4 linked regions of the Lepisosteus oculatus genome follow. The protein of the gene in region 1 interacts with the protein of each later gene in a biochemical or structural test. Links are inferred from orthologs where the notes say so. Each region holds a gene or a part of one and is shown on either strand. Other genes may lie near its edges. The genes, in order: cdk1, pbk, rgcc and runx1.

What was found.
Region 2: the proteins of cdk1 (region 1) and pbk form a complex in vitro, tested with the Homo sapiens proteins (2 studies listed by BioGRID and IntAct, with this or other methods). The link is inferred for Lepisosteus oculatus from reciprocal best matches to the Homo sapiens genes CDK1 and PBK.
Region 3: of the proteins of cdk1 (region 1) and rgcc, one has a biochemical effect on the other in vitro, tested with the Homo sapiens proteins (2 studies listed by BioGRID and IntAct). The link is inferred for Lepisosteus oculatus from reciprocal best matches to the Homo sapiens genes CDK1 and RGCC.
Region 4: of the proteins of cdk1 (region 1) and runx1, one has a biochemical effect on the other in vitro, tested with the Homo sapiens proteins (2 studies listed by BioGRID). The link is inferred for Lepisosteus oculatus from reciprocal best matches to the Homo sapiens genes CDK1 and RUNX1.

What each region holds. Positions count from the first base shown.
Region 1 is NC_090699.1:23,136,566-23,144,602, forward strand, and holds the start of cdk1 (cyclin-dependent kinase 1), read left to right. Parts: upstream 1-4,904; 5' UTR 4,905-5,007; exon of another isoform or gene 5,008-5,011; intron 5,012-6,256; 5' UTR 6,257-6,261; coding exon 6,262-6,298; intron 6,299-6,522; coding exon 6,523-6,679; intron 6,680-7,314; coding exon 7,315-7,438; intron 7,439-7,673; coding exon 7,674-7,844; intron 7,845-8,037. UniProt on the Homo sapiens protein: Plays a key role in the control of the eukaryotic cell cycle by modulating the centrosome cycle as well as mitotic onset; promotes G2-M transition via association with multiple interphase cyclins.
Region 2 is NC_090697.1:56,986,518-56,993,701, reverse strand, and holds the start of pbk (lymphokine-activated killer T-cell-originated protein kinase homolog), read left to right. Parts: upstream 1-4,078; 5' UTR 4,079-4,773; intron 4,774-5,181; 5' UTR 5,182-5,267; intron 5,268-5,384; 5' UTR 5,385-5,406; coding exon 5,407-5,458; intron 5,459-6,490; coding exon 6,491-6,587; intron 6,588-7,184. UniProt on the Homo sapiens protein: Phosphorylates MAP kinase p38. Seems to be active only in mitosis. May also play a role in the activation of lymphoid cells.
Region 3 is NC_090710.1:16,934,492-16,942,386, reverse strand, and holds the start of rgcc (regulator of cell cycle RGCC), read left to right. Parts: upstream 1-4,803; 5' UTR 4,804-5,018; coding exon 5,019-5,052; intron 5,053-5,521; coding exon 5,522-5,698; intron 5,699-7,895. UniProt on the Homo sapiens protein: Modulates the activity of cell cycle-specific kinases. Enhances CDK1 activity. May contribute to the regulation of the cell cycle. May inhibit growth of glioma cells by promoting arrest of mitotic progression at the G2/M transition.
Region 4 is NC_090708.1:28,895,570-28,903,552, reverse strand, and holds the start of runx1 (runt-related transcription factor 1), read right to left. Parts: upstream 3,076-7,983; 5' UTR 3,047-3,075; coding exon 2,992-3,046; intron 2,825-2,991; coding exon 2,648-2,824; intron 1-2,647.

The sequences.
Region 1 (8,037 bases):
AGTTCAGGTGGGGAGCTGCGTCAACATGCGTAGGCTGCAAAGGAACAAGTAATAGGTTTATTAAAGCTCCATGGCTGAAACATTGTGTTTTCTTTCTTCTCTTTTCAGCATGGAATTAAACTATTACTTGTTCCACGTTTAATGTAGTTTACGGATTATTTCTCCTTTTAAGTACCTAATAGTTAATAATACAGGCTATTTCATGAATTATTTTTTCAACCTTGACTTACACATACCATTGAAAAATAAGTTTGCATAATCCAGCACCTTTTAAAACCTTTCAGGCATTTTGCTTTAAAGAAACAAGTGTAAGTTTAACACTGTGGGTTTGTTTCATAACCACTATTTCACATAATTTTAGATAATTCACTATTGACATTTATATTAAGTAACCTCAGGCCACCATATAGAAAATATGACCTGAGGACATCCTTATCCTTAAAGTCAACTGCCCTTGGAGAAAAACCTGGAAAGTAAATTAAATATATAAACAAACCGAATGAGCCAAATCTCCAGGGAGCTTAGTTTTGGATTTTAGCTGACATAAAAGCAAACTCACATCTTACTCCCACCCCTTAAATCAGTCTTTCAATGTACATCTAAAAGACAAAAAAAAAATGTTATTGTAGGTTCCAACAAGGCATCTGATAAAGGAACAGTAAAAAGGAGACTAATGCTATCTGAATGCCACTGCCTTCTTTATTTTGGGAGACAGAGGGTGTGTGTCTAAGCCTACATGAATAAGTACTCCTAGCAAACAGCTCCAGTAAATTCACAGCATCCATCATCTGAAAGAAATGAGATCTTGAAATTAAGTGTTTTTGTGACCACTACTTGGTCTATCTGCAATTTTCTTTTCATATTATTTGTTTTTTGTAAGTCCAACATATCCTGGTTTTTAATCATTACAATAACAGTAAGAGTCACAGTAAGAACAATTTATACTGTGTATAGCAATTGAATGTACACTGAAAACTGCTTTACATGTGTCAATATTTACCGATCAGAGTTAGTATTAAACTACCCACTATTTACACAGATGGGATGGTTTATACAGGTTGTAAGATGAAAGGTTTTATGCAAATACATTTACTATATGGCCTACAAATAATATAGCAAAGGTGCAAATTCCCTTTCCTTTTTATGAATGACACCAAAATGACAAATTCTGGAAACCTGTAGGAAAATTACAAAATGTAAATGTACATTTTGTATAGTCTGTCAGCCTATATTTTGTCAGCATTATCCCAACCCAAAGCTGTTGAACTTTATGCCTAAGTAAAATTCTAATTACACCTTCTACAGAAAGAGCAGAATGGTAGAGGACTCTTGTAAAGCCATTACTCTTATACCGACACAAAAGTTGACAATAGCTGGAATGAAAATGCATCCTGACAGTTTTGTTATAGGTATGTGTAATAACAGATAACCGATATAACATCCTCTGAATACAGCAGTTTCAATTCCACAATTATGGCTATATGTAACAGAAGACAGATTTCAAAGAGGTCTAAGCAGGAGAAGTCAAACTAAAATTCACATAACTTAATTTGTAGACTAATCAATTAGGTCTGAAGTCCAAGGAATGATTTTACTACTGTAAAACAAAATGTGAAGACAGGAATTATCAACTTATTATGAAAATGAAGCAAGCCCATCATGATCCTTCCTGCCTATTGAATAGTTTTACTGCCTTGTTAGCCACAGTGGCTTTCCCCTGTGCAGGAGTTAGAAATTAAAATGGCTGTAGTAATCCATCAATAAATACGTAAGAGCTCCTGTCATGACAATGTGGACTGTAACATAAAAAGACAAGTACAAAAGAGTTTAGAAGATCTTAAAGCATCAATTAACATTTTAAACGAGTTTGTCTTTGAATGAAGTTGCTAAGTCTCAATGACATCTTAATGCCTTCTAACAATATACCTAGAACAGCCTGGATCAGGGATTTTTTCTTGTCTTATGTATGTACAGTCTGAGCCTTGATATTCCTTGAAAAAACTAATGCATTTTTATGGGTGCACTATACTTGCACTGCTTCCCGGCATTTTGCAAGTGGATTCAGCACTTTATAAGGGAAAATGTCCGTCTTAATTGGATACACTACCACTACCATGATGTGGATAAAAAAGTTCTGAAATTATTGGGCAACTGCCATCAACTATGAGGGAAAATGCACACAAGAATTTTTAATTACCTTCAATAGTAAGCATTAACATGTCCATTACCATCACAGAAAAAACTTGAGGCACTACCTCACAATAAAAACAATCTCATTATTGTCATAATGGAAAACTAATGATTACTGAAAAATGGTATTTCATCATGACAACAGTTCAGGCCAGCACCATGCTGAATTAAAACAAGAGCCCATACTTCAGTTTAATAAACCTTTTTTTCTGGTTAAAAGTCAAGAATGCAACAACATGTCAGTTTCCGTGTTTAGTACGATTCCAAAGCTTTAAAAGCTATTGTTTCAAGACACCCAGGACTGTACTTTCCTACTTTGTTTTTGTTTATGCAAAAAAAAAAGATGACTGCCAAAGATGACATTTGGCGCAATTCAATCTCATTAAAATGAAAGCCTTTGCACTTTCCACCTAAAGGATTAATCATTTACTTGCAATAAAACTATATTCAGCTTCAGAGTTCAGTCCAAACACAGGTGGTCTAAAAACATTCCACGTTCACGTTACCAGCGTCGACACCAATCTAATCCTGCTGCTTTACCCGAACCCCAATCAACGGCAACACCCAGAAGTACTGTAACTGTCAGGTATACTGAATTTGTAAGCGTGTCCCCGAAGAACGAAATGTATTACCTGCAGCTAATTGAGCCGTGCAGTCAATGCAATTAAATACCATGCTGTTTAATAATCACAAGGCGTTCTTCTTAAAGACTTCGCACTTCAATAAAGTGTGGACACTTCGACCAACCTGTACACTTACTTATTTAATGACATGTGTTTACAAGTGGGAAACTGCGGGCGAGAATTGATATCAATCCATGTGCCGCAAAACAAGACTAAATCGCGAAGGCTCGGTTGCTTTACACTTCTGAACAAAATGTATCCTCACCTGTGCAGTATCGCTTTCACCACCTCCAATAGGCGTGGAGGCCATGTTGCTGAAGCTTTATCCAGACCGGACAAATTTGAAATCTCGTTTTTTTAAGGGGGTGGTGGCGGTGCAGCAATATTGCTTCCTGCACAGCAAAACCCATAAACCTTTAAAAAGTTGTTTTAACTCGTTGATGAGACGGAGCTTTCGACTGTTCCAAAGCCCCGCACGACCCCCCCTGCGGCGCGCTGTCTCGGAGTCCCACACAGGAAAGTTTTGCTCGCTGCGCAGCCGAGTCACACAGGTAAAGTCCACTTGCTGTGCAACTTGACTAAGGCGGTCTGATCAGAGCCTATTGAGATGGCGACAGTGGCAGTGCCATTAAGGCTACAAACCGCCCGCTGTACTAACTTCACCGCAGACTCGGTTAGGGTGCGGCACCAAGGTTACTGCACTCATAGGCTGAAGACCTCGCCGACTGTTGCTCTTTAGATAATAGAAAACACAGCGATAATACTACTGCAGCGTTCAGAAGCATAAAATGACACCATGATTATATTGAATGATTTTTTTCTGATACTAAGTGTTATTGTATTAAGTGTTTAATGAATAAGTATACATTTATAAAAGCCATGCGGAAATAATTGTATTTAACATTTGATACAATATGCCCTTCCCAATACCACTGTCACAATCTTGCATATAAATGCCCGCACTTTCAACACCTCAATTAAAAACAATGTCAGATTGCATTGTTTTCAACTATTAGCACACTTAACGTCTATATACACCAACTAAGCATGATTTTAGTCTGCAGGTAATTTTAATTAATACAATTTAAATATACCTCTGTCTGTAACCTGACACTTTGGCCAGAAGAGGGTGTCAATATGGTTTTGAATCTGAAAACTACTGTTTACATGAAATAACCGGTAGGGCCCGAGTTGCCTTTTGATAAATCACGGTTCTGTTCCCAGAACAGGGCTGCATTGTGAGATTAAATGGTTATACGAAGAAGGAATGGGCTTCAACGCAACTTGCTGAGCTTTACTTTGAAAAGTCGTTACGGGTTAATTTGCACACAAAAAAGAAACCAAGTTAAAAACCGAAATAAATTTATATTTCTAATGTAATCACCTTTTACTTAGAGCCAACAAGGTGAAATGATAAGATTCCGGTTCAAATTGGAAAACAAATGTTCCGTCTCCAATTTCCATCGCTAACAGAGGAATTTCGTTGCCAAGAATGCAATGAACCCTGCACAAGAGAGAAATGCAAATACTATTAATAATTTAGAGGAAAAAGTACAGTTTGTCAACACATTCACAAGAAGGTTGTGTGCAAAATGTCATTAACTGTGGTTTTCTGTCCTTTAAAGTGTTGTCGCGGCTCTATAACATTTATTCAAACATTATTGATAGCATTTCCATGTTAATTTAAGTAAGCCCTTTAATGATACTAAAAGTTATACTGTATATGAAGCCTAAGAAAATATCCGTCTAAACATACTCGTATCCTTTTTTAATCATTTCCCCAACCACTACATGCAAATAAAAAAGCAATAAAAAATGATTATAGTGTATAGTGAAATGTATCATTAAAAAAATACATGGAGAAGTGAAGGTTTACCTGGAAAGTACCGTGCACAAAAAAACATCTACCACCCGCAAACGATATAAGAAACCAAAAATCCTGGAAACACTGTGTGGTTTCCAACCGGGCCCGCCCGCTGCTTTTTTTTTTGCTCATCCTCTTCCGCCGCGCTTTAAAGTCGTTCTCCCGCCCCTAAGACATCCGCCTCCCGATTGGCTCTTTTGAAAGTAATCGAGCTGCCCGATTGCTTGGATTTGAAAGGCAGCGGCGCGGCTAGTTTGAAAGCCCAAAGCTGCTGTTTTCCCCCGGACTGCTGAGTCCAGTGAGAGCGGCGCAGGAGTTACAGCCTTGGGAGTGAGTGCGTTCTTTACCAACTTTTATTGTACTGTTTATTTGTTTTTCCCTTTATATAATCTTAATGCAGAAGTGTGTGAGGAAGGGGAATTTAAGAAATGGGTTAGCATTAAAAAAACGACCCGATACGATTTCGGGTGATCCCGAAGTGTGAACAATTTAAAATAGTGTGAAACAGTTTTTATATATGCATGCATCTTTGGAGAGCATGGAAGGGCACCGGATTATATTTCTTGAGAGGAGCGGTTCTGTAACTGTCTAGCCGAAGCGCCGATGGTAGGACTAGGCCCAGGCTGTATTTGGTGATAATGTACAGTACACGGGTAACCGGCTCGTTAAAAATGTCATGAGCAGGTTCTGGGTCTGCTTTTTACAGGCCATAATCGATACGTGACAAAGGCAAACTAGACAGAATTGAGAATCATTTGCTATTAATTCTGTCTAGATAAAAACAAAGATGCAGGACCGTGCTAACAGGCGTTGCACACGGTAATTATTAACGGTAATTATTTTTTGTATATAAGATAACGAGCTGTCACCTAGTGTTCGACAGTTTCGCATCGTAGGTTTGGCTTGTTGAATAGTCTTATTAAAGGAATTATTATCGCCTCTTATCGGCAGCGAAAAGGCAGGAACGTGGTTCGTCTCGTTGTGGAAGGGAACATGGTCATGCACACGGACAGGCTAGGTCTGCATGACGCTTCAAGACACGTTTACATTTAAAAATAGTACCTTTACTCTTGTCATGCTATTATTTGCTTGAAATACAGACGTTTCCAACTTCCAATCTCAAAAATGACATTTAGCCAAGTAGTGTAAGTTGTCAGGGCACGACCGGTAAGCCCTTTTTCATATAATCACTGCTGGAGAGCGCCACCTACACAAGCAAACACTTCGGTTTAGCGGCTGTGAAATAGTTTCCAGTGTGACGAATCACAGACGTCAGAGTCTTTGTATTTACAGTCTGGCGTTTTTGTCATCAAAATCCTTTGTATAAGAGGTTTTCAACGCCATTGTTTTGAGATAATACGGTTACCAAATCGCCTAGTGTTATTTTCGGTAACAGTAGCAGCTGGTGAAACCAGTTTCGGTAAAATGTCCTATGTTTTGGAAAGTACAATGAAACTGCGTTTATCAAACGATAGAAAGCGACACTTCTTCACACAGCATAGCAATGTTATAGAACAGACAAACCGGTGAGCGACTTATGTCCAGAGTAAAACGGTGTTCTGTGTATATTTTCTTTCAGGCAAAATGGATGATTATGTGAAGATTGAGAAAATTGGAGAGGGTAAGTGTATGCAGACATTCTGTCCCTGGAAAAACAGGTGCAAGCTCAACCAAAACTGTGCTTTTGGTTTGCAAACTGTAGGAAAAACAGTTTTGTTTTGTATAATGCTATGGTTTTAATGGTCTTGTTCACCATGCTTCTTTCTTCAAGAGGGATGTTTGGGCCTGAAGGCTCACTGGCACTTCCCAAGACACTGAAGTTGTGTGTTTTGTTAATTTGTGCAGGTACCTATGGGGTGGTTTACAAGGGTCGGCACAAGACCACTGGGCAGGTGGTGGCCATGAAAAAGATCAGACTGGAGAGTGAGGAAGAGGGAGTTCCCAGCACAGCTGTCAGGGAGATCTCCCTGCTCAAAGAGCTCCAGCATCCCAACGTGGTTTGGTAAGTTAACGCATGCAGTTGTAAAACAGTTCAAACCAGGTGGTATGGTTCTCTGTACTCTGTTCAAAGTACTCTGCTCAGATTACTGTGGTAAAACATCCAATATTCCAAATTTTAGGCCTCCTGGATAAAAGCTTTAGCTAAGCTATAATCTGGCTGAGACGTCAGTTTGCATTTGGACCCGTTTATAGAGCTGGGCATTTTACTGAAGCAATTGGGTGAAATAACTTGCTTAAGTCTCCAACCACAGCGTCTCATTTTGGATTTGACTCCAAAGCCTACCAGTTAAGACTCCAGTACCCTGAGCAACTGCTGCACACTGTTTAATTAACATTAACACAAGACATTGGAATAGAACACCCTTATTGTACGCATGTACTGTAAGTGGAGTTCTTCAAATTGATTGTGCCCCACATACACACCCTCCTGCTTTGTTTTTTCAGTTGTTACTTAATCAGACCCTTAAGTGTCAGTGATAAGTATCGGAATGTGTACAACCAGGATTCTTGTTTTTCTAATCCTTTCTGTCCATCCTGTATAGTGTTATGCAATATGTTATTAAATCAGTAGTAATGAAATATTGAGAGCTTTTCTGTCCTACTCCGAGAGGATTCACTAGATTTTCGTTTCCCCAGCCTTCTGGATGTCCTCATGCAAGAGTCAAGGCTTTACCTCATCTTTGAGTTTCTTTCAATGGACTTAAAGAAATACCTGGACTCTATACCTTCTGGTCAGTACATGGACGCGATGCTGGTTAAGGTATGGCACAATTCATGGCAGCTTGGAAGGGTAGTCTTAATTAAAAAAAAAACTAGGCAGTAATAGTGTAATCACAGCTCTTTGTGATTTCTTGTGCTTGATTTCAATGTTAGAGGAAGGCACTACTTTGTATGGATCCTTGTTTTTCTAATTGTATGCAGTATGTTTTCATTTGTTCTTTAAAGTTAACATTTTCCAATGTTTTTATAAGTTATTGTTCTTTTGTTTCCACCAGAGCTACCTGTATCAGATTTTGCAAGGAATACTCTTTTGCCACTGTAGAAGAGTCCTTCACAGAGACCTGAAACCTCAGAACTTGTTAATAGACAATAAAGGAGTAATAAAGCTGGCTGATTTTGGGCTTGCCAGAGCCTTTGGGATTCCGGTGCGAGTTTACACTCATGAGGTAAGGGAGAGTGAAGGTTTAACCTTCCTTTCTCTCTGTACCAAAGTCTTATTACAGTAAGTTATGTACGTCATGGAGGTGCTTGCAAGACTGCATTTATTTGATTTGATTCACGGAAACCAGCCTTATCACAGGGAAATTCGCTTTAACTGAACAGTCAAAGGTTATGTAAGGGCAGTGTGAGATAAAACTT
Region 2 (7,184 bases), on another chromosome or scaffold:
CCACATTATAAGGACCCTGTGATTGATATACAGTATGTGAGTTTCATCTTCTTCTTTACCCTCTCCCTGTGTTTGTGTTGTCAGCCTAACATATAGAAAGTGAAGGCACTTACTCTTTGTGCTGTACTATACAGTATGTGCAACATACTTTTTAAATACGCACGCATATTTCACAGTAAGAGTGTTATGTATGCCCTTCCTAAATGCTCATTTTCACAACCTGAAAAAATGCAAATAGCACAACAAAATCAGATCACAAAATCTGAGTTTCATTAAATATCAGAACAAGTCATGAGTTAAACAAACATAAGTTAAAAAAGTATGGTTTCTGAATTGCACCGTTATGTTTTTGACTGTGGTGTTTTACTAATGTACTCAGATAATTGTTAGTGACTAACTTGTGCCTGTTTGGGAAAATGAAATAAGAAATGTTGATCCATAGGGAGTTTGTTGGGGATTGTCTGAAAAGTGCAGAGGGGGATTTCCAGAAATCAGCATAATGTGAGCTGCTTGTTAGAGATAACCAGCCGGTACTGTGCAGACATATTGATCAAAACTGTCTGAATAAATGCCTGAGTTGTCATGTTATCCTCCTGGAGAGAGAATCCACTAGATGCCAGAGACTCTGGGGCTTCCAGATAAGGTTGATATTAATGTCAAAGCTGGTACTTTAGGTGTATAGCTGCTATCTTGTTGAGCAATATAGTTATACTGTATACACTAGTTGAGCAAACTGGCCAGGGAATCACTGTGATCAGATCCTGACAAAAGGCAGCAATAGCACAGACTATACATCTGTATAGGTCTATTCCACTGTTCTGCTCTTTTCATTCAATAATTTTCTTTTTAGGTACTGTAGGAAATAATTTAATCAATATTGTTTTACTGTAAGTTGACTATTATTATTATTATTATTATTATTATTATTATTATTATTATTATTATTATTATTATTATTATTATTCCTGACAACAGTTGACAAGTGAATGGAGAAGCCACCCACCATTACTGTGAAGATCTCAGGTTTTTTTTACATCAGCCCACCAGTGAAATTTCTCTCTTTCACTATTTCACTATATAGCTTCAGGGAATTTGATGTCAACCACAGTTTGATGCCATGTGGACAAGAATAAGTGACGGAGGCAAAATATCAGAGTGGGAAGATGTTTTACGATAAATCTGAGCATCATCTGCATAACAATGAAACTGAAGACAAATAATAAAATGCAATGATCCCAACACTAAACCCTGTATGAATGGATGGAAATAAAAAACTGAAATTCTTCTTTACAAAGCTGTTCAAGCTCTATCAAGTTTTTCTTGCACTGATGGACAGCAGTCTTCAAATCATGCCAGTGCAGGGTTGGCTGTGTGCTTTAAGTCATGTTGACAGATGAACATCTATCCCAGTTTCAGCTATTTTGCCGGAGGCAACAGGTTTTCCTCAAGGACTTTTCTGTAGTTTGCTCAATTTGTTTTCCCATTTTTCCTGACAAGTTTCACAGACCCTACCGATAAGAAATGCCCCCATAACATGATGCTCCTACCACCATGCTTCACAGTAGGGATGGTGCTCATGGGTTGGATGTTGTGTTGGGTTAGTGCAAAATGTCCCACTTTGATTTACAAATAAAAATAAAAGTCCTATTTTATTTAATAAAACCCAAAACTTTTTTACCACATGGCTAAGTAAGTTAAATGGGATTCAAGGTGAGTTTTTCTGAGTGATGGCTTCCTTCTTGCCAACCTGACATTTAGGCCAAAATTGTGGAGATGTTGGGATATTGTTGTCACATACACACTTTGTTCACTTTGAGCCACAGTCTTGAGCATAAAGGACTGTAGCTCTTTGAAAGTTGTCTTTGGCCTATAGGTATCCTCTAATCATCCTCCTCGTTTCTTGACCTTCCAGCTGAAATTACAATTGGAAGCTTGTCACAAAATGTCTCTTATTGCATATGAAGTCTAGGAGACAAATCTGGTTATGTACAGTGTTTCATTCCTGCAGTTACTTTCAGGTGTGGTTCAGACAGCACAGTCACATCAATAGTTGGTTGACAAGCTGTCAGGATTTCAGAGATCATCCCAACTGTGTGTGCTAGAACTTTTAAATCAGTTCACCACAGGTGGTCGTAGTCATCATGTGTATGGTCACCTTGTGTGACAGATTATGATTCATTGGTAGATATCTCTGGTTCTGTCAAAAGATATATGACAGATGATCTCTAGCCAGGATTCATGGCGGTGCGGTGGCTCTGTAGCTAAGGGTCTGCACCCGTGGCTGGAAGGGTGCCGGTTTGTATCCCACGGCTGGCAGATAAATCTTACTCTGTTGTGCCCCTGAGCAAGGCCCTTAACCCCAACTGCTCCAGGGGTGCTGTATAAATGGCTGACCCTGTGCTCTGACCCCAAGCTTCTCTCCCTGTCTGTGTGTCTCATGGAGACCAAGTTGGGGTATGCAAAAATACAAATTCCTAATACAAGAAATTGTATGGCCAATAAAGTGATCTTATCTCAGATATACAGATATACATACCTCTTGAAACTGACCTGTATGTGTCACAATGTTCATGGCCTACTTAAAAAATAATGAGAATTTATGAAAAATACATTGTTTACATTTCTCATCCACACTATAAACTACACAGCATGTTACCTTATCTTTTGGTATGCAAAGTGGCCTGCCTTTTCTCAACTATTTTGTTTGGGCCTTCACCAGCATCCTCAGTCGCTTTTACTGATCCCTTCTAGGAAAAACGGAGAGGACTCTTTCCTGTTCTTTTTTCATCACACATCAAACTCTCTTTCACTATCTTCTCACAAACTCTTTTACTCTAGGCAATGGGGTATTTATTCTGATTCTCTGACACCCAGATATCTTTCTCTTATACTGTTTCATCACTAGGCTTAGACGTACTCTGCCTTAACCAGTGCTCTTTCTTTTCACAAACATTTTTTCAACACTAAACTCAAATCTTCTCTCTGCCACTTTTAAAATTTTCCACACTCTTGGTGTTTCTTTACCTCTCACTCTTCTCTTCGCTACTCTTCTCCTGACTGATCCTGTTTTCTTATATCCTCTAGAATCTGGCATCTCTGACAGTAGCAGCTGGTCTGTCTGCAGTTCTTAGGACACGAGGTTGTACTTGTGACTGAACTTCTTTTGTCCAAACTGCTTCTCTTTTGACTGTGATAAGAAGCTACATTGCTGCCTTGCCAGGTAGTATCCCACTCCTCTAGAAACCAATACCGGCAGGTCAGAGCTTGAGTCCCACACGCCTATTAGCCAGTCTAATCCATTTCATGCTAGAAACCCTAGCATTGGCCTCTCTTTTTCAGCTTGCGCTGGGCAAATGCTATCTTCTGCAATACAAAACATTTTCTTACTACGACGTATAAGGTACCTGACTTGTGGCTTCTGACTTCAAGACAATGATACACTGTAATATTCTTTGAAACCCGGAGTTTGTAATTTGCTTTAGCAATGGTAATTGAGGAAAAAGAATATTGGTTGAGTGCAATTAATCCTGTGTTTTTATTCTTGTAGTCGAGTTGAAGGTAGTTACATGCAATGACAATTACTGTTGTACTCATAAAACAGTAACTACTTTTGCCCACCAGTTAAGAATTACTGCGCAAGTGTTCAGAAATGGTAGAAAATCATGTTAAAATATTTTGATACCTAGACGAGTGCTGCCCTCTTTTGGTGAAAATGACTATTATTACTTAGATGTGAGGAAGAACAAGCTTTTATAAATCTATATAGACATTTTAGACAAAAGACCTCTTTTAACTCCTGTAAAAAGCGCCCTGAACCTGACTTTATTACATATTGTTTTTTAGTGTTGAGTGTTTCCTGCACCGTCTACTTTTGGAAAATCCGGTCTAAATTTGTTGCTATTCTTTAATCACTCTAAACTTCTTTGCACAATAAAAACACTTCTTTTTTTTCTCGTTGTACACTGCCTGTGAACATTTTGCATTTTTTTATTGCTTCACAATGGTTACGCAAGATAAAGATTACGTAAAGAAGTTTTGGACAAAAGATATTTTGAGGAAATTTGATTTAGGTACATTATCAAAAGTCGTAAAACAGCATTGAGCATCTGGATAAGCCTCAAAAGCGCAAAAATATGTTTTTATTTTTCTAGCATGGAACTTTTTTTGCTAATCTGTGCCTCTCACGTTAATTCCGCTCTAAACTTGGACTTTTACACTAAATTTGAAACGTTTAAGAGCAACCTTTTTTATTTTTTCCAAGGGAAATATATATTTTTTCTGTTTGAAAAATCAATCATTGTCTATCTTGGATTTTTATCATACAATGGACTCTCCGGGGTCAAATCTGAAGTTTCTTACGTACTGCTGCAGTATCATCCTCAGTTTGTCTTTTGCGTGTCTTACTTTATAGATGTCATTCTTTTTGACTCAGATTTTTCATGTTTATTAGCACATTAGTGGATTGCAGGAGTGTCATTAGCAGTTCGTACCTCACTCTGTTTTAGGACTGGAAACCTGAAATGACTTCCTTCGCACTGCTCCAACTGCCAGAGAATCATTCTCTTATTTTTGGAATAGACTGCAGGAAGAAGACACACAACAAACCGAAATTGAAAAAAGCAAACCGTCGAGTGAAAAGTGAAACAATTTCATTTTCACATCAAGCCACGCTGTGTTTGTCCTTGTTCAGCCGCCGTTTGGTGCCCATGTGATACAAACTAAAGATTTGAAAGTAGGCGCGCCAGAATATTTTGTAGACAAAGGAAGATCTTGGTAAGTGGGATTGACTTGTGTTTTTATATAAATACGTGAAAGGAGCAACATAATAGCATTCAAACCTGTAATAATATAAAGTAATGACAAATATTTCTGTTGTGAAGAAAACAGTTATTTTTGCTATCGTATCCAATGTGATTGAAGTTCTTTATTAGCTTGCGTTTTTATAAACGAAACTGTATGGATCACTTTATTCACTTGTACTTTTCTGAATCGAGACAAAAAATAAACTTACTTTCAACAGATTTCAATTAACAATTCTAACAATAACAAGCCCGAACGATGTAAGACTCGGCTATAAAATCGGCTCTGTGCAGTAACTGCATTGATCTTTCACTGTGTTTTCTGCGAATGTGACGAAACTGAATGTGTATAATAAATTTCCGTAATCTTTCTGTTTTCCAGTCCATTGGAGAATGTTATTGTGAACAACAAGTTTTTTTTGACTGAATCAAAATTCAGTACAAAGATTACCCTCCTGTTAAATACAAGTAAGGCCAGCCCCGAAATCGAAACTTTCTATTTGGCGGTTAGATTGTGACAGTATAATGTGTAATTATAGTGTAATTTTTCCAAAAAGTACAAATATTTTCTTGTTTTATCCCCAGCGGCACTGTAATTCCAAACGGCATGGAGGCGGCAAACACATTTGTGACCCCTGGCAAAAAAAAGTTTATGCCTGGTAGGTATGATTCAATATTTTGACAAATTCCAGGAGCAACTGCATCAGTGGTTTTAAATGTGTATTACATTTTACGTAATGAAGAGACGTCCAACAGATGCTATTGTTTTTCTGAATCCTTTAGGGGTTTACATCAACAGCACGACCTTGTTTTGTTTAGTTTTTTTTGGATCAAATGTCTTTACTGGCAGCATACTAGGTGCCTACCAAGCTACTGGAAAGAATATACTAGTAAAAATGCCATCCCCATGTATTTTGCTGCTTGTTACGTTTATTTGCTTACAGTACATATAAAAAAAAAACAATTAGAGACAGGGCTACCATTAGTTCTTTTACAAGACTAGACCTAACTCAGCTGTAACCTAGATCAATACACAAACACACAAAAGAGCAATGAAGTGATAAGCATGCACAAAAGTAAATTAGTCCCTCCAATCACATATATAACAAAGACCCAACTCTGCTAATGGAAATTGTAGCAACTGGTAAATATATTTGTATACAAAAGGTCTTTGGATTAGCTGATGGCAAACAGGAACAACAGAAAAAAAAGTTCAGTTTAGTAGAGTTGTGATACATTTCAGTGCATCTATTTCATTCTATAATTTAAAAAATAAAGGAAATGTAATTGACAAGCTGAAATTGACCCAAACAGTGTAATCATTAAATCATTAAGACTAAAAAGGGGATATTTTTAGGTATCTTTTAAATGCAGACATTTTGGCATTACTTAATCACTGTTCTCTGTGCTTTGTTTCTTCTCAGGATATGTAACTATTACCCAGATGTGAAGAACTTAGGTTCTGTGACCTGAGACTTCTCTAGTGAATTCTCTAGTGAATTTCATCACCCTTATTACTAATTAATTGCCCTTATTACTTCAAAAAGAAAATAATGCTGTAAGGTAGATATTTGTTACATAAAGTACAGGAGGAAGAAAGGCAGAATGACTTTTTTTGTTGTTGTTGTTGTTGTTGTTGTTGTTGTTGTTGTTGTTGTTGTTGTTGTTGTTTGGTTTTCTTTTTGGAACAGATGGATCCCCTAGGGCTAGAAATATAACAATCCCTGCATCTCCTTTCATGAAAAAACTTGGATGTGGAACTGGGGTGAATGTATATCTTATGAAAAGGTTTGTAGATGTGTGCAATGAGGTGAAATGAATAGGTACTGTAGTTCCCATTTACAGATGGTGTTGAAACTTCAATTTATTAATGTGAAGCTCTGCTAGATAGGATTTCAGATTATGTTCCCCTTGCAGAGGGACTAGGTCAGAGGGACCTTGTTAGAAATAAAATTGTATTAAGGTATCAACAGGTATAGCAGATGTTTATTTTAGTGCTAAACAACAAGAGAACTGTTGTTAGTTTATTATTATTAGGGTTTTCTGTTATTAGTCTATAAGTAAAATGTCAATTTCAACTGAATTTGATACTTTTTTGAGTGATCTCCACATGATTACAAAACATTAAGACCTTCAACACTGCAGTTGTGTTTTTTAAGCCATGTATATGTTGCATACTGTTTAACATTTATCTGCAGATCTTGTTTAATTACTGGCTAAACAAAAGCACACAGATAAAAATGAACTGGATGTTAACTAAAGGAAGAAATACAATTTAAACATGTTTGGAAACAAGGTGTTAAAATGTGTCATCTCCTTCCAATGACAAGTTTAAACTATCAGTTGTTCATTCAAGACAAGGTAAAGAGCAACTCAATGTTGTAG
Region 3 (7,895 bases), on another chromosome or scaffold:
GACTGGAGTGTAACATTTCAAAATTACATTTCACGACCTAATTATTTAGCTGCAGCTGAAAAATAATGATTTTATTAGAAAGTCATCTGCATGTGTAACTTTGTGTGTGCAGAAAATATTTTTAAACCATCACTAGATGTCCTGCGATGCTTTTGTGGTTTTTGTTCCACAGGGCAAGCAAACACTGTTAACCTCTATTATCCTTAAGTAAAGCCATATGAATTTGCACAGCTTTCATGTTAAAAGAAATGTCTAAACAGTATTTAAATATGATTGTGTTTTAAAGGGATCAAAGGTTTGTCTACCAGGGAGGAATTCATGGGTGGTTTCTAAAGCCTTTGAAGTATTGTCAACAGTTGCACGAGTACTTGACAATGTATGAATGCAAAATTTCCTTTTTTGTTGTACGAAGACTGTTACTTAAACAGAACTGTTATTAGAAGCCTTTTGTGCAATCCTCTTGCACAGGTGTCATCTGCGTGCCAGTATCTCAAGCAGGCAATTATGTTGGAGCACAGCAGAGGGGTGTGTGTGTAGGGGTAGCGTTGACAAGTGACAAGGTGGCTTTGGAGTACCTGTTGTGCAACACCTTGTACAACACGGCACGTCTTATGATCAAATTCACAGCGGTTCTGGCACAGTTGGTGCCATCACATGGGTGATAGTAGCCAAAGTGAGGCTGGGGCCGGGTAGGTCTGAGTCAGCCTGCGAATGTTAGCTCTCCTGGGGAACACCTGCTTCAGTGGCTTTGCCAAACTGCTTCAGCCCTGCACTGTTACCTGGGTATCTGCATGAGCTGCATCAGTCCTGCATGCACTGCTAGCTACTTTCAGGAGTGCAGGAGTTCTTTTAGGCAGCAGCTGTCTCACCCTGCAATTCACAACTGACTACCCACTGAAGCTCAGCAGGTGTGAGCCTGGTCAGTACCTGGATGGGAGACCTCCTGGAAAAAACTAAGGTTGCTGCTGGAAGAGGTGTTAGTGGGGCCACTAGGGGGTGCTCACCCCGCAGCCTGTGTGGGTCCTAATGCCCCAGTGTAGTGATGGGGACATTATACTGTAAAAAGGTGCCATCCTTCGGATGATAGAGAAACTGTCCTGGCCTGGGCTTTATCAATCATGGCTGCCTAATAGTCCCCATGTATGACCTGGCTTCATAACTCTGTTCTCCTCCCCACTGAGAGCTGGTGTTTGGTGAGTGTTCTGGCACACTATGGCTGCTGTCGCATCCCCAGGAGGGGTCCCCATTACCTGTAAAACGCTTTGAGTGGAGTGTCCAGAAAAACACTATACAAGTGTAAGGGCTTATTATTACTATTGATAATATTACAGGTAGAGGAGCTGCTCCTTTTATTTCATTCGTATGGGCTGGACTACCCATAACTCGATAGGGGTGTGTATTTATATACAGTACCTGATATATAAATGTATACATTAAAGTGGATGCAAATTATTGTGAAAGATTTGGAGCGCCACAACAATTTCTAGAACCTTCACAGGTCAGACGATCCTTTGTTGCAGCCTTGCAGTGTCAAGCGCAGACTGTTATTGGCTCGCTTCAGTGCCGTTATGCATCACCTTAAACCAAAACCAAGGGCATTGCCGTCTTTCCTCTTTTGTCATTTCGGCGACATCGGGCCGTTTCCAGAGTTCAAACCGGTGAAAGGAACTCGCATCAGGAGAAAGAGCTGTACTTGACAGATTTCCTTCTGTGCCCTTGTAGCTGTTGTCCAGCCTCTGGTTTGCACCACGCAGTCCCCATCATTCCAGCCAGGAGGGAAGAGCTGTTGCTGCTGGCTCTGTCTCCTCATGTCCTGCTTTCTGACACCTCCCGGTCAGCACAAGACAGGTCGGAGAACATCCTTAGTTTACAACCTGCCACGGACACGGTGATGGTGATGATTTCTTAAGCTGGAAGAGGAACTCCTACTTGTGCAGTGTTGGCAGTGAGCCTGTTGGGTCTTCCTGTCAACTTAAAAATTGCAAAAAATATTCTATTTCTTATTTCTGTTCTACAGTTCCATTACAATGGACATGTGAAGCCAGATACAGCTCGTTGCATCAGTACGTGGTACGGTATTATTGGATACTCATGGACTGATCTAGACGGTCTCTAAGACATCACTAAGCTGTTTCTTGGCATCAATGTAACTATTAACTTTCATATTCGCTGGGGTGAAAGTGTATATATGTACTTGTTTAAAAGCAGAGTGCTGTGATACCTCAATAAAAAGTCGAAAGAATTTTCAATTCAGAAGTGGATGTTTTCACACTAGCTGTATACGTACGTTTAATAACTGTGTTAAAAGCCTTTAACCCAGAATTGTTTGTTCCAATTGTTCCAACACCCGTTGGAATTTTTCACATAGGCATGTTTAATGATAATAAACTGATAGAAAATGTGAGTTTCATACACATTTTTTTTATATTCCAGTCCAGAGAATTTTTTCCCACTTTTTTTCCATGCAATTGCAGTAAAAATGGGACATTACTTTATTTTGAATGAGATATACCTAAGAACAAATTCAGCAGTGTACTGTAGACTGTTTAAAATGATAAAACTGAAAAACCCAGAACAACATATGAGCTATGTATGCAAAATATTCTAACTTTGTGTTAACATAAGAATTATAAGAATAGCTCATCATTTATAAAACCAGACATTCTGAAAAAGAATCATCTGTATAGGCAATCTTAGAGGAAAACCTGCTTCTGTCTGCTAAAGATGTGGGACTGGGATGAGAGTTCGGCTCTCAGTGGGACAAAGGCCTATAACCAAAGCTACACTGAAGTGGCCTAATATGAAGAAAGCAAAAATCCTTAAGTGGAACAGGAAAATTTCTGCCCATCAGCGATTCCCAGCCAGCCAGCCTGCCAGAGCTTGAGCAAGTTTGCAAAGAAAAACGGGGGATTTATCCGTAAGAATTTGGCAGCTTTAATTACTGCCAAAGGTGCTTCCACCAGGTATTGACGCAGGGTGTGAGTACTTCTGCAATCGGCATACTTTAGTTTTGATTACTTTTGCGTTTTTTTTCCCTGGAATTTAACTTCTTTCATCCGTGAAGATGTTCAGTTTGCACATTCAAGTTTCATTCAATTTGAAAAAAAAATCTCAACTTTTTTTGTTTCTTTAATCCATGGGACAGATCTGGAAGACTGAATTCTGTTGCAAAGTACGGTTCGCCCTGGAATTTCCCTATATGCAAGATCCATTATACTTGATTTTTTTTCAACTCAGGATCAGTTTGAATGGGCAGGAAATGAACTCTCCAGGTGTCAAATTTAGTGTTCATCAAAAGATATAGATGCTATTATAGCATTCTGGATTTAGTGTGGAAGAATTGTTTAAAAAAAATGCGTAATAGGACTATTCAGTTGTGGTTCTCTTAACAGCGTTCAATTAAGAATGTGGTGTATTATTTGGTGCAAATGGGTCCAGGAAAATAAGATTTCTTACTGAAATAACTGATCGCTGTGTTGCGTTCCTTTGGATTAGGTTGGAAAGGGTGAGGCGGGCAGAAGACTGTGTTGGAAAGAGAGTCACAGAGGAGAGCGTGTGAACTGAATCAGCATAGTTCCTCCATCCCAAGTGTTACCTTTAGCACTTTATAAAAAAAAACCATGTGTGGCAAGTCTAACATAGTCATTAATAAAGTCAACAGAAAAGTGCAGCTGTAAACACATTTCTCGTCCCTTCCATCTGCTCAGCTGTTAGAAAAGACACCGAAGGTGTGAATATTCCCTGAGGTGTGACGGATTCTTCCATCTTTGAAGAAACACTTCGACCATGCCATGATGGCTTGTGTGCTGGGAAACAGTGAAAGAACTGCCAGGGGTTTCAGAAGCTGGTCATCTGTGGTTCTATATCAAGTCTGAGCCATTAAGCCATTAATCTAATCACGAATCTAGTGAAAGAAGTTATTGGTCCATATGGCGCTGTTTTGGGATGGTACATTGTTTAGCAGGGACTGCAATTCTTTACGGAACCGCCAGGTGGTTCCCTACACTGCACAAATATGTAGACTCACAAATTTGGTTACTTACGGAACATATATTTACCACAAAAGGGCATGCCGTGAAATCACTTATGTAATAATTTATTTCCATGTCGTTAGTAATCATAAACGGAAGCCTTTCAGCTGCTCATCCATGAAAGTATTTCGGAATGCAACTTTAATGCGTCGTAAAATGCGTTTAATAAATTGTAACTGTTAACAAAATATGAACTTGCTAGATGTTTTATGTATGATTGCAAATAAATGTGTTTTCCTTGTCGCAGCTTTTCTTTACCAGTGGGAAGGCGAAGTCGGAAAACAAAAACACTGAGAAAAAGATCTCCTTCATTCGCAGGAGGAGGGTAATTCGTGAATCAATAGATATGTAATTAACTCCCTCCAGGGAACTGTCCACAGACCTAAATACTACGTTTTATAGAACTCCTTTAAAACTAATATCATTTTCAGTCATGCTGTTTTCATTTAATCTATAATTATTTCGTATATGCATTTTAGTTTTAAGTGGCACGGCATTATGTAAATAATTTCTGCCCTTCATTATGTTTAAAATGAACCTGAAACTTGCTGAACATTGGATTTTGGAGCTTAGGCAACTACATCTGCGTTAACGGGAAGAAAAGGCAAACTCTTAACTAATTCGGTCGTGCCAGCGTGCCTACTAACGTGTGCCAGTAACTGTGTTTATAAACAAACATCGCTTCTGGGAATTAAGCCAACGTGCAACCTCTGAACGTTAGATGGTACTGGATAATGTTCCTTCAGTACCTTCGGTACCAGTTCCTCTGAAGGCAGTGTACGGCGGCAGTCCCGACCTCCACCTCCTGAGAGCCCAGTCACCGCCCCCCACCGGGACTGGAGAGCATTTAAAGGAGTGTGGCGCACAATCAGTTGTGGGATTTAGCAGGTCTACAGCAGTGGGCATCAGAAGAACTGATCAGAAGTAGTTATCCAGGATAACTCATTTCCTGCATTGGATATATCCAAAGGATAACACATTCGGATAATGAAATCTCCCAAAATGAAATCGCAGAGCAAATGTAAGTTTTATGAATTGACGTTAATGTACGCGTTTTCAGTCGACAATGTAGACAAGTTTTGGATGGAAACCTAAAGTGTTTAGTGCGTTGTTCTTGAAGGGGATATCGTTTATTTTATTACGGGATTCATAACTGCAAGTCTTTTTGTTTGGGTGGCTCGGTTCTGGAGAGCTTGTAAAATTATTTAAATCTCACCTTTTGATTTTAGCTTAAACTAAAAATGCTGTGAAGCTTTTGGATGGTTTATGGTGTGTGAAGGTAGGAATTAAATGATGAAAAGTTCAAGCTGATTTTCAGGCAAACTTGGACCCTATTACGTACTTTAATGTAGATCGTTAGATGTTTTTGAAAGCATATGAAGCTTTAACTGCCTGGGAAGTCACAAATCATGTCACTATATTTGCAGTGCTTCGTCTGCTCTTGTGAAAAACGATGATCAATAACCACATGCGACTATTCTTTTTCCTAGCGCATTTTCTTGAAGATGATGATGATCTTAATGCAGTTCTCTGTGAATTTGACGCTGTTATTGAAGATTTTTCGTCTCCTATGGGCAAGAGGCACTTTAGATACGATGAGCATTTAAAAACCATGAAGAGGAGGAGTAGCGCCAGCGTCAGCGATAGTGGCATCAGTGATTCAGAAAGTAAGTTTGGATCTTGTTTCATATTTTGTGTAAAAGATGAGTGGGTTTGTACTGTAATGCCTAATGATGCCATTTTACATAACGGCATTCAAATAATCCAACTGTTATTATAACTACACTGTGACATTTGAAGTCATCTGTCAAAAGGACTAAGTTGTTAGTTGCATTTAGCAAACCACTAGATATCGATGATTACCGCACTATAAAATAACTCAGGTGGGTAGCTGCGTCAGCATGCGTAGGCTGCAAAGGAACAAGTAATAGGTTTATTCCATGCTGAAAAAAAGAAGAAAGAGAACACAACGTTTCGGCCGTGGAGCCTTCTTCAGGTGTGAGCTGTGTGTTCTCTTTCTTCTTTTTTTCAGCATGGAATAAACCTATTACTTGTTCCTATAAAATAACTGTGGTTAATATCAAATTTCACATGCGTAAACAGTTTCGTAATCGGGAAGAACAGTGACGTCTGATACACGTGCCGATGCACGATATCGGTGGAAAGACGAAATAATTACACAAGAAAAATAATTACAAGAAACCTAAAGTATACCTCCCTCAACACAAAGTTTTACAAGCACCCATAAAGCATTATTTTAATATACGCGTTTAAAGAAGGTCGATACTCTTCTGCGTGAACACCTGCTGACACACTATCTGCGCGTCTATTTGTTCTGGGATAGCATGCGATAAACCTCCAAGTGAAAGCACTCAAGTCACTAATACAGTACGTCTTGAGTATTAGTGTATATTAAATCTATTAAATTCCGTTCTTGACAAAATGCTAAGAGTACATCATGAACCGCTTTGCATTGTAATATAGCAGACCACATATAAGATACATGTTACGCTTTGTTACAAACATGTACACACCCATTTGTGCTTCAGTTCAAACACTTATCCAACCACACCGCCACCCATAGGAATAGATTAATTTTAGACGAACTTTTTTTTCTTAGCGTAGCTGTAAATATCTCATTCATTCTGTTGCTCGTAACGTCCATACTGTCGTATATTGTGGAATACAAGAGTAGCTTTATCCTTTTGCAGCAGAAGACCATTGTCTACAAAAAATGAGGAAATTTTTGTTGCAGAGTTATGCAGGCAAATTAGTGCAATTAATAACTCTTCAAAGTTTACATGCAGACCAAGTAGAATGATAACACTCAGCACAATTGTGCCCCTATTGACAGAGTCTGTTTAATTTGACGTAGAACGTGTTCGCGTTATTCCATTGAATGTGTCAGTAATAAGCAATTTAATAAAAAAAAACTTTGATTCCCCTTCATTTGCAGGATTAAGAGCCTATTCGAAATGTTTTGCTTAGAAGGTATAAGTGCTATATTGTTTACAACTGTATAGGACCATGTGATTATTTAAATGTAGTTACAAATTCTTGTCCTCGCTTTGAGATGCGGGTGTGCAGTTGAAAATGTACCTAGAAATTCTGCTGCTGAACAGTAGCAAAGATAGCATGTAAATCATCATCTTTAGAGAAGGCTGGCAAAACCAACCCCTTTGGGAAGACAGGGCAGGGGATTTGTTTCAGTTTTGTTTTGAATGTTGTCTTTCCAAAGGCTTCAACAGATAATCTTTTAGCGACGATGGGCAGTCCATCTCGCTATCAAAACTGAGCTCACGCTGCCATGTATCTGAGTGAGTTCACATGACAGAGCACTCATTGAAACTGGGAAGACGCTGAGCGGTCACTTCCAGTGTTAGCCACTGTCAGGTGCACAGACAGCCCTTATGCAGAGCCTTCTAACTGCTGGATTAACAGAAGGGATCCTTCGCAGTTTGAGGTGATAGCAGAAATACTTGCAGTAAAATCAGGATTTGTGCAGATACATCCTGAGGCAATGAACTATTATTCATATTATGCAGCCAGGAGTAACAATATGAGAAGAAATGAATGGACTGAGCCGACAGAGTACAATATCCCCAACTGTAAACAGCATTTCTGTCACACTTGTGCACAAGCTTGTACAAAGAGAGGGATTTTGAAGAAGCTTTCAGGAATTTTCTTTAGAAATGCTATTGGCATAAATGGACTCATTCGTTGCTCTCCGTGGTGTTATGGGAAAACACATTAAACTAGTCCCAGAAGCTAAGATCTAATTACAAGCTCTTTTCTGTTCCCTGCATACATTTCTCTACACATCTACACAGTGCACACAGATGACAAGGAGCTACAAGCAGGCAT
Region 4 (7,983 bases), on another chromosome or scaffold:
TGACAGAAATAACCAAACAACAAATGCTAAGAATCTTTACAAGCCTTTTCCCAACTCCAGCATGCAGTTTATTCCACGTTTTCCATATTAAACGTAGCTGAGATTCACAAACTGCATAATATTTTTTACCTTCATTTTCCACACTTGCAGAGTGGGCACCTTTAATTATGCATTTGACACCAAAAAACGATGTATAAATTAAGCTCAGGAGCAAAAATGGTGTGCTGATGCTTTGTGTTAAAGCACACATTGTGTCTTCTGTAAGATCTCTGTAAGTCAATTTTGGTTTTCCTCAACAGCCTCTGAACAGCTTGATTAATTTCCTGTGCAAAACACAGTTAAAAGTGTGAAATAAACAAGCTAGAATAAAAAAAAAGTGTAAACACTGAAGTGTTTGAACATGTACTTGTCTTTTAACTTTTTCTATAGAGAAATACAAAGTCTGCTACAATTCAGATGAAAGGTGACTCTGAAGCAATGAACAACAGTGTTAGCATAGGTAGGGTGGGTAGAAGGTACTCTAGGTACCGTAGGTATGAGTATTTGGTATAATACACAAATGCAGAACTTGGAGAAGCCCTGTGCTCCCAAACTGCAAAATATTCAAAAATGCTGACTGTGCAAGGCTGTTAGCTTTGTTTTGTTTTTGTTTTTTAAATAGAGAGACCAAGCAATTCAGAGGTGTACGAGACAACTTGAATAGTTTCCTTGATGCGCATTTTCAGATTTTTGTATTAAAACGTGTCTTCCGCATGTTTTACTGTGCATTTCTTTAATAAGAATAAGAATTATTATTAGTTCAGGTGGGTAGCTGCATCGGCATGCGTAGGCTGCAAAGGAACAAGTAATAGGTTTATTCCATGCTGAAAAAAAGAAGAAAGAAAACACAACGTTTCGGCCGTGGGGCCATTTTCAGGTGTGAGAATTATTATTATTATTTGTGCATTTGTTACAGTGGATGTTTACATTTGTACTTCATTTTTCCACTGGGTATGATAGTGGGGTTTTAACTAACTGTAAACATAGACTATGAACTGGAGATAAACAGCTCCACTCCACTGCAAATTAAGTTAATTATTGTAAGGTATGTTGTAACAAATGACTTGGACATAATTTTACTTACCCTTTCTCTCAGGGTAAAAGAAAATCCTATATTCAGACCTTGAAAACAGAGGTCTTTTGGGGTGTGAGGGACACCAGCAATTGCGATCCAGAAGCAAAGATACTTTTCATCGGGACTTCCCTGGTCCCTCATTCTGTACTAGAACTAGAAATAAATTGACCATCAGTCTTCAAATAAGTGGAAACGTGACTTTTTTTCTAATCCTGAGAACGGGTAAGACTCTCTTCTAGGAAAATATAATCACATAGCTGAATTTAACTCTGGTTTGTTTTTCTTACCCCTCTTCCTTCTCTCTAACAGTGTTGCATGCCTATTTATTACATTTTCAAACTAGCAAACCACAGTCATATCAATCTCACACAGCTGGCACATTGTGGTAATTTTTCTATCGGTCTACAACTTGGGAATTTAATTTTGCACACGTGTTTTTGTTTCTTCAGGAGAAATTCCATTTCAATTGTTCTAAATATGAATAATTCCAAATTTCAGTCCAGTGTCAATCTAGATTATTCTCGATTCTCATGAAAAGACATTTGTATAAAGATGCATCTGAGGCAGCAGCACAGCCCCAACAATTTACAAAACTGCTTCCAGGGAGGCAGATAGAGCACACCTTAGCCAGGAAATGAGAGAGGAAGATACTCCCTTGAAATGCAGATGAACATGAATTTTTTTTTTGCAGAAACATGCATACCTTGCAATTCTGTGGAATAGAGCTGTGTAGACCTAATTTTCTTAGAAACAGTCTCTAATGCTCCTCAATGTTCCTTTGTGGTCCCCCGTAAGAATCCCTGTTCTACTGTTTGCAGCACACAGCAGAAGCTCATATGCTTTGAAAGCAAAATAATGGTTGATTCTTCAAGTTTACTACACAATGTGCATTAGTACCAGGGATCAGACCAAGGTGCCACAACACATACTCTGTAATTCATTCTTCTAGTACTATGATTGAACTTCCACAACCCTGTTCCCGTGAAAACTGTAGTAAAGACTAAAACGAAAAACAAATGAGTCTAATGACTTCGTGTTCAGGACTGTCATATCAACATAAAAAAACAAGAGTATTTAATTATTTTATTAGACAATTCCTCAATCAGACCTGCAATGAGCTGGACCCAGAGACAAAACCAGACACTGAAATTTCCTAGGACTGCTTTAGTGATTTCCCCTGAAGCTTTGCTGACAAAGTTTGGTGGAAGGTCACCAGTCTGGCAGGCTGAGCCCTGCCCCAGACAGGGCAGTCAGACTTTGCCAATGCAGCTCTCAGCCTGCTCTAGTTTGGATGGAGGTTAGAAAGAGCTCCTACCCACATACCCACAAAGCTGTGGTTTCCACAAGAGTCAATCAGCCACAGGATTTCAGAAGACTCCAGCCACAGGACCCAGCACATATAAATAAATAAATCTGCAGCCCTGCTTTCCAATGCACTCCCCTACACAGACCCTTTGCCCAGACTGAACCCCCTTTGCCAACACCCCAGTCTGCATGAATGCTGTCTGAGGTCTGCACGCCCCCAACACTCACCCCTCACGAAGCATGACTGGTATGAAGGAAATGACTCAAAGATGCTGTTGGAGGCCATGGCTTCCTTGCAACAAAGTGACAGCCTGCACGCTTGTGCTCGCAAAAAGAGAACCGCTGTCGCTTTTCTGAAGCCAGTGAGTGCCTTTGTTTTTAAATCCACTCTGAGCTCTCCTTGGTCTGCAAAGGGAAATAAAAAAATAATGTTCAAGAATTAAACGAAACACATTTTCTGCACTCATCGTCTGACCAACATCCACTCAACCACAACCAAATTCTGTTCACCTCTATGCATCCTCCCCCCACACTCCTCACCATCCCAGTCTTACAACACACTGGACACCTACATTTAACTTGCCGCTTCTCCAGAAAAGAGACCCCCATAGGGCTTTGGGATGGCATTCCCCTTGCACTATAGACAGGGCGGTGGAAGGTGGTGGACAGGCTGCGGTTTACTGATGCTTACCCTTGCGCAAAAGACAACAGCACTTGAGCAAAAAAGTCGTTGTGGTTTCAGCAATCCGGGTGATTCGCACTGAGATCAACGAGCACACCACTCCCCCCTCCTCCCCCTCTCTCTTTCTTTTTCTTTCTCTCTCTCTTGCACTGCCGTGACTGCTCCCAGCCTGGGTTTGTGGTTGTGTGGTGGCCCACAGACAGCTTCACATAACCCCAATTACAAATTTAACTGTTCCTTTCCGAAAACCTCAGCCAATTGGGTAGGGCCTGTCACGTGATATGGTGATGTACAGGATTTCTTTTTTTTAATCTGGTATCGTGGCTTTGCCTTTCCCACTCCACCTGCCCTCCCCTTTAGTTCAGTGAGGAAATAACAGTGGCTTGAGTTTGTACTGAGAGACAGAACAAAAAATGACTCACTCGCACAGTGACTAGCTATGCAAATCGCACTCCAGGAGGAGATACAATTAGCCCTGTGTGTCTCTCAGTGATCCTGGTGAAGAGTCCAGTGAAAATTTACATGTCAACTTTTCATATCTAGGTATAATCTGATAGTGTTCTGAGAGGGAAAGTAGACTCCGAAGTCATCAGTTTTCCAAAGCTCTGTGCTGTGTACCAGCCACCTGTGAAGGGAGTTTATGAGGATACCAACATCCCTATCACTCTGCTATTACCCTATCCTCTTCTCCACTTCAGGTGTCCTTCAGAGGCATCCAGACTGCTATAGAGTTGCACTAAACAATAATTTAAATTTTTGGATTCAGTTTCCTCTGAGGAGTTCTGGGTGACCAACTGGGTGAGACTTTTCCCTTGCATTGATTTCTCCATGTTAGTTTCAGGTAATTTTGCATTTTATTTGGGCTGATAAATAAACTCTGAAGACATGGGAATGTGAAGACCATATTTTGTCTCGTTTACGAGGTGGATTCTTTTTCCACTCCCTGCAGAGTGTTGATCAATCAGTAGAAGAGTTCTGCTGCCAGTTCTCAATCTGAAGTGAGACTTGGCTCCATCAAAGTTCAGTTCCCTCGCAAATGTCCTTACCCTGGTATTGGAACAATTTCCTACAATTCTAGCTTATAAAGCCATCAACATAGTACTTAATATTAATAATGGCATTTCCTCTTTGCTGCAAGAGTACCACTCTTCTTCCTTCCTACTGTCCAAGTCAACTGGCCAGTACATTTATTTATTTCAAGATAAATGCCCCAAATTCCAAGTAATACAGTTTTATGATACTGATAAACCAGGCATGAAGACCAAACTGTACTCAACTGTCTTGGTTAAGCAAGTGCGTGAACAGGGTATGTAGGTGACCACCTTGAGGGTCTCCCACACTCAAAGTGTGCTCTGACTTTTTCTGCCCTCCGCGCTGGGAAGACATTCTTCCTTTTTATACTTTCTCTTCAGTTTAGCAGCCATAGCTGCAATAAAACTCTTAAACATATGACTTACTTTAATAGGAGGGTTTAAAAGCTGAAATGGAAACTTTGGACAGAAGCATTTTGTTTAGCATGATATAAGAGAGTGAGCTGATGGAGATGTTTTCCCTTTCTTTCGAGGTCTGTGGCCTAATATACTGAGACTGTGGTAGACTGAGAGTTACCTGTGGATGTTCACTGACTGATGAATAAGTAAGGCCAGTGAGCCAGCTGGAAAGGAGAGTGATAAATCATGTGAACCATGCATTTTACTGTCCATAGAAGGGATTGTTTACTGACAGTGAAGTATTTTATAAGGCCAGTAATGATGTCCTGTTTCCCTGTGCTTATTCTTCCAGCCAGCAATGGAACGTTTGCCTTGTCCTTCTGGCTTTTACGCTTTTCAGTTAGAAGATGGTTTTAGCTGTGCTTTCGACTTATTTAATTTCTCATGGAGACAGTTGCCATAATGGCGTGGAAATATAGGAGGTCCCCCTTACTCTCCCTTCCTCTCCTCACCTGGCAAGTGTGCTGTTCATGGCGGCTCCAATCTGAGGTGGCAGGCCCGCCCAGGCCATTGTTTGGGTAATTGTGACTGTGTGTGTGAGCAGCAGCGCCTGCAGACCCAGTCGTGTGTCTGTGAACTGTAAGGGAGGAGGCAGGAGGGGGTTGTTAATAAGGATGATCAGACAAGAGAGGGGATGTGTGTGTAGGTGTTGACGGCTGGGGGGACCTGCAGTATAATTAACCATGCGGTGCACAGTGATCTTTCATATGTGTATAGCAGTGTGTGGAGGGGTGGAGGGGGTATAATTGCAGGGCTGCTCACCTGCTGTACAAGAATAATAGTGGTGACGAACTGCTCAGGTGTGTAGTGTCAATCGTGCCTGCTAATGCCATGATTACCAAGGCCTGCCTGCGGCCTGTCTGTGAAAAATCAGCTCGTTTACTCCATGCAGGAATGGCGCGTTGTCTCTACACCTGCATGCCCCCCTTCCTTCCAACCTCCCTAATCACCGGGTACGTTAATTGGCAGAGGGGCACAAGGTAAGAGGACAGCTGTATGACCCAGCTCCTTCAAACACACAGGGTTTGAGCTTCCAAGATCTCTCGCCTGCAGGGCTGTGATACTCACACCCACCTGCCAGGCTGGAGTATAGCTGGCAGCTGCAGACTTGGGTCGCACCAGTCATATTAAGGCCACATGATCTATTGGAGATGCCTGCTGCAGAGAGGCTTTAGGGATTAACAGGCTAATACACCTTATAACAACAGAGCACTCAGCACTCCCACAACAGGTTAGAGATGCTATAGATTGATCCAATGTATGCAATTCAAGGATCAGACGAAAGAAAAGGCAAAAAACATTTTTACTAGGCTGGAAACTAGGCTCCATTTTAATGCTTAGATAATCTAATGAAACATGTTCACTCTTTCATGACGACTTATACCAGGGGTACCAGCAACACTTTGCAGGTCCTTAATGGGTCCAGATAAGGTGTACGTTGATAAATATCATTGTTATTGATTGACATCCTCACAATAGTATCTGATAAGGTATTCAAAATAGGGTACTTGAAAGATAAAGATCAAAACTTTGAATTCACAAATGGTAGCAAATATCTGTTGAATAATGACATGTAAAAACACACTGTTCAAGTGTATTCAGAACTTCCAAACATGTAAAACCTAAATGTTCCAGATGTAATTCTTCCATATTTTGATCATATGATAGTTTTACAAAATCTCATGAAGTATATTAATTAATTCTTTCAAATTCACCTTGATTCACCTTCTTAAGTCATGGGATACTTAAGAAGGCTGTACACAGATGTAATCCAGTCAATACCATTTGTTATCTAGTGGAAAGTCGAAGAACTGAAAGATAATTTTGATCCACACAACTCAGCAATAGTAATGGCTATAAGAAAATTGCAAGATCGTAGACACAATATCTACCGTACCATTAATCATCAATATGCTCAAGGTGTGGAATTGATTCTTGCCAGAAAGAGGACACAAGAAGGCCCTATCCAATTATGAGGTTGAAAGGTGATTTGTAAAGCTAACTCAAAGCAAAGGACTAGGAATCTTCACCAACAAAAGAGGAGTTGGCCCCAAGAAAATGGTGGCAGGAGGTCCTTTTGTTGTCAAAGAATTAATGAAATATGGATTCCCAGAGTGTGTAAATAAATTATAATATATGTCACTATATGAAGCATCAACAAACATTTCTAACTGTTTCAAAAAATTCAAAAATACATTAAGAAAATGATTGAGTCTTTTTATAGCAGGTGCATTGACATTTTATTGAATAGACATGATATAGATAATGTTACCATTTGTCTATGAGAACAGGGCTGATAAACAGGAGCCAACTGTGATTCACAGGATATTAGTGTATGGAAGCAATACAAGCTGTACATCTGTGATGTATGTTTTACATGAGGTTGTAGATGTTGTCTTAAAATATTCTTTCTGATCCTATTCTATTTCACGTGGCCTGCAACAATATTCTTTACTTACCACACAGTTTCCTTGTTCCTTGATTTTAGTTGATGCTTAGCACTCAATTTCTGAAGATCTACAAATAATCAAATATCTATTTCTAAAAATCCCTCAAGGTGTCTTGTGAAGAAAGAGAATGGCACATACAAATCATAACTCTCCCCTGAGCCTGCAGCAGTGTGCACAGATACTAGATAAAAACTTTTATCTTTAACAGCTTTTAAACAATGCAGAGAATGAGGCCTAAGTGTTCTGTTCTCAGTTGGAATTTGTGGAACCTTGTTATCAAACGATTGCTAGATTTTCACCTTTGCTTCCAAATTTCAGAATAAAAAGGCATGGACACTAAGTACAGTATATTATATTCAATTATGATAAGTTTTTGTTTCACGAATTGACCTCTCACTTTCCTATGAGAAAGGCATAGTCTTCATGAATACAGTGATAATGTATTTTTGAAAATGCAACAGTTTGTACTTTTGACCTTTAAAGACTAAAAAGAGTCTGCTGTCAGCTGCAATTTCCGGATGGCCAGCGAGACAGACTGGAGTCCCAGTGGAGGAGGGCTGTGAGAGCAGCACTGATCTCTCGACAGGATGACAGGGTGTGAGCATTGGGGTAGGACAGCTGTCTGGGGCTTTCAACAGCTGAACACTTGAGCCTGCTCAAAAACTTTTTTTTTTGGTCAAAGACAGTTTTATTGGTTCAATTCAAATTAAGTTAGTTACATCACCCCTTCTCCAAGAGTGCCAAGGGTGGAGTGTTTAATCCAGGAGATGTAATTTCCTTCCGCTAACCTATACCCAGGTTTTTATACCTTCTTGCCTTGGAATTGAATTGACTCTGGAGCCAAAGAACAATTTGTATGTGAATCCTTTCCAAGTCTGTGCTGTTTCATCTCTGTAATAGGCAATTGGATAAAGCCAGTCCTGATGAAAAAAGGTATGATGC